Linked DNA regions of Oryzias latipes. The protein of the gene in region 2 purifies or fractionates together with the protein of the main gene of each other region. This does not show direct contact. Links are inferred from orthologs where the notes say so. Each region holds a gene or a part of one and is shown on either strand. Other genes may lie near its edges. The genes, in order: tbl2 and eif2ak3.

Region 1 (2,773 bases), on a different chromosome or scaffold from region 2:
TTGGTCATTTGGTTAGTGTTGATGGAGGCCAGAAGATCTCCTTTCAGGTCCCAGATGAGAATGTTGGTGTCTGTAGAGGCGCTCATTATAAACTTCCCTGAAGGAAAGAAGAAAAATTTGCCCTAAAACCTGTGAAAAATGATGTCATAGAAAAAAAAAGTTGACCCATGACATCCATAAATACAATGAAAGCTACTACCATGTCAACTAAACACACAAAATAGCAGGAAGTTCCCTGGGAAGCCTCATTGGTTGCTGTAAAATCATTTGTTAAATGTTCTTGCAAAAATTACAGCGAAAGCCAACATGCAGCTTCAAAGACTCTCTCCGTACCCGTCTCAGCGATGCCGATGTTCAGAATGGCCGCCTTGTGTTTCTGAGGGAAATCCTCCGGAGCGGCCTTGAAGTTAAAAGTGCCGTCATCTTTTTTGATCATCTTGAAAATGCGAACAGTGTCTCCGTTCGCCAGCCAGGTGATGAACGCTCTGCAGTGGAAAATACACAGCGAGTCTCTTAAAGCACATTTTCCGACATAAGTTCTGCACTTCCGATGCTGGATGGATGAAAATAGAAAAGGATAGTGCCGGAGAGTGTAAGAAACTGTAACAGATTCAAACTAAACTCTTCTTTGAATAATCCACATCAAATCAGTCTCTACCTCCAAAACCCAATATCAGTTCATCAAATCCATACATTTGTTTTCATTTAAAAGTAACCCATCAGCTTTTGTTACAATGCTTTCAAAATAAAAGCATTACCGCTTATCTTCAGAATAAAAATCGCTTAGTTTTCAATATTATTAATGGTTTTTTTCATTGCAAGTTACACCTTTTTTTAGTTTATATCTCTGTGTATGCAATCAGTGGTTTTCGTAACCAAATCATATATATTTAAACAAATGACCTCATAAATCGCTTGTGAATCTAGTGGATTCAGAATCTTGGCGGCGGACAGCCAGTCTGCAAAACAAACCTGGAGTCTGGACTGAAGCGGACCAGCAGGGCGTGATCCAGCTCCACATTAGCTCGCAGACATTTGTGTTCTCGGTCCAGGAAGTCTTTGGTGCTCCAGATCCGGACGGTGCGGTCGTCGGCACAGGAAGCCAGGTACTTCCCATTGCTGCTGAAATCGAGGCACGTCACTTTCCCATTGTGGCCCTGAGGAGCAGAATGCAAACGGAGGACTGCAGATCAACTCAGGCTCAGGTTTACAGTGTAAAGTTAAAAGCAGCAGGTGGTGAAGGAAGTCGACAGATATGGAAAAGCTACACAATCCTCATGGTTATATGAACTTTACATGAAATGGTGACATTAGTGCTGCCTCATTCTGTCCAAAACAAATCTTTCTTTGTGAAAAACAGAATAAATATCTAAAAATATATGAATACGCCAATTATAGCCATATTCAGACTTACTGAATGAGTTGGTTCGTGGATTTTGAAAACATTTTATGATAGAAATAAACTGATTTCCCCACAAAAGAGGATAAGTTCATAATAAAACAGGTCAAACGTTTTATCTTTCATTAATTGACTTTAAATTTTAAACAAACCTATAGTTCAGTGTCTTTAATGAAATTAAAAAAAATAATTAAGAGCTAGTTTTTGCTGTAAATTTCCCCTTTTTTAATTCCAAAATATTACATTTTAGTGAACAATTTTATATTTCATCCACCCATTTATCAAACTAAGCATTTGAGCTATAACCAAAAAAATATTTTTTGAAAATTAGAGAAGATTTATCAGCCAATGGAAGGTATTTTTTAATGTATGGACATGCTTTAAGAGGTAATACTAAAATAATTTGTTTTTTCTAAGGTGTTTGAAAGTAGTTAGGTAGCCCCTCTATAGCAAAGCAGATGACTTCTGTGAAAACAAGCAATCATACTTCCAAGCCCAATGGGCGTAAATGTTTACAAGATGGTGTTTTTCTCTGTTCTCCTTTTTCCTTCACCTTGACCTCCAAGTAGAATTCACTGCTTCACCAGGACTGTCTAAAATCTCATGAGGAACTCTGGGAAGGAGGCTCTCTCTTGCTCTTCAGCCCACTTTGTGAATGCATGTGTGCAGCTCAGTCCTCTGAGAGTGTGGGAGGTTTGTGCACAGGTAAGACAAGGTACCCTGCACACCTCGCGTTGCTTATCGTTTTGTTATACACACTAGGTAAGTTGTTGATCTCACCTATTACATATTTTGGATCCCTTAGTCTGTGAGACTTTTCTTGTTTTATGATACTGATAGCTAGGCCGTGTTTTATTTTATTTATTTAACTCCTTTGGACCAACCTTGGTCCCTACCTCCACATCTCCCTTTTTTATGTCAAATGAAAAACTTAAATAAAAAAACCATCATCCACCGTGTGTCTTATGCTGTGGGACCATCCTGCCCCAGACTTATGCTTGTATGGATGTACCAGTGTTAAAAAATAAATACAGCTGCTAAAAAAACTAAGTAAAAATATTGCAGATTACTCAACAGGTCTGTGATTTTCCTTTGACACGTGTGCCAGTTCACCTTCAGTGAGGCTGCCAGCAGAGGATGACTGAAAGTGTGCAGAGTCGGTTTATCTTTGCGGCTGCGCTGCTGCTTCTCCTGCTTCTGCTTCTTGGATGTCGCTCCTTTCACAGAACTGGCATCAGCTGAAAGCAAACAGAGGTTTATACCTTCTATGAGTGAATCTGTGAGATCAGGTCACTCAGTGTTGCACAGTAATAAGGGCAACAAATGAAGAAGCAGCTAAAAGATGAGATTCCAACTTGCAGCAAATCCTTCTCC
Region 2 (3,828 bases):
GAGATGGAGATTTTATTTAAAAAGACAGCTTTTTCAATGCTTTAAGGGGCTAGTATTGCTGATTTCTTACTCCATTTCAATAAAGATGCTAATATTGACTCAAAGATTATGGGGGCAAAGCTTTTTGCTGGGCGGGCGGGCAGCTGCCCCCCTCCCAACCCCCCATAGCTCCGCCCCTGGGATGAAGTCTGTTTTTGCCGATATTTCTCTTATTTTGGAGACAAAGCAAATCTCCGGACGGAATGAGAGGCGCACAGCTGTACGAATGGAATAGAAGAGTTTATTAAACTTAGACTTTTAAGAAGTCGTCATACTCCAACGCGCTCCGGGAAGCACATTCATTACAACTCCAACCCAGCGAGGATTGATCGCAGCATCAAAACATAAATAAAGCAAACTGACATATTTACAAATTCACTATGGACAGTGTGATGGGAGGCGGGGCTCGAGGACACCACTTCATCAACACGATGAAGAGGAGCAGGTGGGTGTTCTGCTGGGAAAGTTGGACTCCTCATCATCGAAGCTCACCTTCTCAGTAACTCCAGACCACCTACTGGATGAAAATGTTTCCTCAAACCAACATTAAACTCTTTGACCAAGACTAAGAAGTAGAAAAAAATTGTACAAAAGGTTTGTCCAAAAAGGGTTTGATGAAGAAGAGCGTTTTCGCCTTTCAGCTCTGGAAGCTTCATGATAACCTCTGCAGTTCACGGCGGCGGGAGGAGAGCCCGTTAAACCAGCGAGGACGGCGCTCTTCAGGGCGGATGAAGGAGCATCATCAGTCGGCTCTGCAGTCGTCTAAAAACACAGCAGAATTCTAAAAAAACTGCACTTTGTGTTAAAAAAATGAAGGTTTTCCTTTTTGGAAAAGTACAGTCTTTGAGAGGACTTCTACAAAATAAGAGTTTGTGTGTGTGTAGTTCCTAACAAGTCATGTGACTCTCCCAGCACTTCAGAAGAGGATCATGTGATCAGGTCCAGGCCCCCCCCGCAGTGCATAGGGTCGACCCGGCGCTTTCTGCCCCGGTGTGCCGTGTTTCCACCAGCGGGATGGGGTCGGGTCAAGACGGATAACGAGGCGAGTTATCGGTTACAGAAAAGTACACTTCACTGACTTTCAAATGGCACTCTGGTACCTGCAGCAGCCCCCCCCCCAGCTGTTCAGACCCAAACCCTCCGGTCGGGTCCACTAAAGAGCAAAATGAGAAAAAACAAAACAAAAAAAAACAATGAACAATTTGTTAGAGGTGACCGCCACCGTGTGTCTGGAGGTCCCACCATGACATTCAGCTTTCCGTTAACGGCAGAGGTTGTCCCCTCTTCGCCTCCCGTGTCACAGTATATCACACTATCTTACAGTTTCTTCATTAAAAAAAAGCCTTTAACAAGTCGAACTGTCTGTACAAGATCCAAAAAAAAACAACGGAGAGAAACGAGGTTCCCCCCCAGAGAATATGTACAGTTAGAAAATGATTGTCCCTCTGAGAAAAACCCATCAGCTCACATTCAGCACCACACTTCCCCATAGAGACACCAGTCAAATGCCCAGCATTCCCTCTGAGGGGTCACTGGCCCCGCCCTCAAGGTGATTGGCCTGGATGGAAAGCTTCTCTCTAGGAAATACGTTACTAACTCTTTAAAAAAAAGAGAGAGGGCAAAGGTCCTTTTTTGGTCTTTCGGGTCAGGCATGTAGAGGATGTGGACAGCAGGTCCCTGGAATCGGGAGGATGGTGGGCGTCAAAGGTCCCCTGTGGAGAGTCGTCCTGCAGGTGTGGGGCGAGGTGAAGGTGAGCGAACACTGACCGACCCAGAAGGCGTTCCAGCAGGTTTGGAGGAGCCCAAGACTGAGGTTTCAGTTGGAGATCAGCCGCCATGATGCAGACGTGTTTATCATCCACAGCTGAAGTATCTACACCCATCGGCGGTTGGCGGTTGTGGTCATGAACACATGCCTGCCTTCTGTGGGACAGTCTGAACTGAAACTAACGAAACACAAAAACCCCAAACTGTGCAGGATCTCCTGAAAAAGCGATGCGGATTTCTGCGGCTTTGTGTTTCAGGAGGACCCGGCCTCCCAACAGAGGGGTCACCGAGGGTCACCGCAGTCACGTGTTTCAGGTGGCGGAGGTTTGGCGTGAGGGCCGGCCCATTGAAGATGAGCTGTAGGTGCGGGAGCGCTGCCTCACAGCCAGCCGGCAAGGCAGCTCCAGCTCCTGGAAGAGGGGCGTTCCTGTGATGTCGGCCGCCTCTGGGCGTTCGCTGGGGCTCAGGGAGAGCATGCTGCGGACCATGCCCAGCTGGAAGCAGACAGAAAACACAGCCGAGTGCAATCAGAGCCGCCGTGATGCAACACGGACATCCTGTCGAGATGAACGCACGCAACACAACATGAACACAACTGAAGGAGTCCGAAAAATCACTGACTGGAAACTTTTCAAACCTTGTTTTTAGACATTGAAGATATTTGAGCAGGTTTGAGGCGGCTTAACGCCTTTTCAAGCAACGTTTTTGTCTCAGATATCTAGAAATAAGACAATTATTATTATTATTAAAATGAGTCCATTTTAGTTTAAACTCTTGACAATAGAAAAACATGTATTTTTACTTTAAGGATGTCATTTTACAGCTTAGACTGACCCTCATTGGCAACATTTTAAAAAACAAAAATTTTGATTTACAGTATCTTCTGGGAAGAAGTGCTAGTTTTAGATTTTATGAGGATTTATAAAGCTGCGCCAATTTGTACCAAGAATCTGTTCTAAGTTTGCTCACATTTTATTCTGAAACGAGTCGCACACGTTCTAAACACAATGAACTTCAAGGAGGCACAGAAAAACTCCAAAAACACGAACCATTTGCTTTAAACCAACAAAAAATACTAATTATTGGATGGAATAACATCTCATTTGCAGTAATTTTGCATTTAGCAAAATGTCTACTTTTTTTTTAATGCTTGTGTGGAAGTCCTTGTTTGTTAGATGTTATTATGGGATAGTTTGCATAGTAAAAACAACTTCCTGGACAGATAAATTCAACACTTTCTAGTGATTTTCTTCTTTAGATCAGTGCTCTTTAGCTTTTATTAGACTACCTCTTTCTACAGAGCTAAATCTACTACTCTGTCAGATTTTTAACAACAGTAATCATGTTTCTGGTGCACTTCAGTGACATTTGTAGGTCTACTTATCTAATCGTCTTTGGAGTCAACCTAATCCAGATAATCCCGTTTATTAAATTATTATTGAAGGTCGTTTATCTCCCAGATGACGTGACTAACATACCCCCCTGTTTAGCTTTAGATCAATGTTATTTTAAATAATTAGTCATTTAACGGGTCAAAAGGGGCATTTAACTAATGTGGTACACTTGTTCAATACCTGCTGAAAGGACCCAATTATTTAATTGGCTTAAAAAAACCATTTCCCGTTGGCAGGATGTCAGCTGTGTGTTCATGAAGACCGGCTCAGGTTTTAGGTGGAAACTCATAAAATGCTTGTTTTCTCTGTGACTGAGCACAGAATGACTGTACAGTGGTATTACAGCTGCTGGGGCACAAAGTGAACCCAGACTCATGAGTGTGTGGTGCCACTAGATGGCAGCAGACGACCTTCACTCACCTCCTGACTGTTGTTTCTGGAGAAGACCTCTGGGAAGCGCAGCACTCTCACCTCCGTGAGGGTCTAGGAGAAGGATGCAAACACCTGTGAGCGCAGCTGCACCAAGACCGCCTTTGTCGCCAAGACAAAGGTCCCCAGCTGCTCGGCGCAGTGAGAGCAGAGCATCGGCCCGTCTGCGCAGGAGCACTCGCACACACAAATACAAGGC

Evidence for each region.
Region 1: the proteins of eif2ak3 (region 2) and tbl2 purify together in Homo sapiens (affinity purification with western blotting; 3 studies listed by BioGRID). This does not show direct contact. The link is inferred for Oryzias latipes from reciprocal best matches to the Homo sapiens genes EIF2AK3 and TBL2.

The regions. Positions count from the first base shown.
Region 1 is NC_019872.2:24,987,821-24,990,593, forward strand, and holds part of tbl2 (transducin beta-like protein 2), read right to left. Parts: intron 2,638-2,773; coding exon 2,513-2,637; intron 1,158-2,512; coding exon 973-1,157; intron 486-972; coding exon 334-485; intron 98-333; coding exon 1-97.
Region 2 is NC_019880.2:22,050,269-22,054,096, forward strand, and holds the end of eif2ak3 (eukaryotic translation initiation factor 2-alpha kinase 3), read right to left. Parts: intron 3,684-3,828; coding exon 3,621-3,683; intron 2,301-3,620; coding exon 2,118-2,300; 3' UTR 261-2,117; downstream 1-260. UniProt on the Homo sapiens protein: Metabolic-stress sensing protein kinase that phosphorylates the alpha subunit of eukaryotic translation initiation factor 2 (EIF2S1/eIF-2-alpha) in response to various stress, such as unfolded protein response (UPR).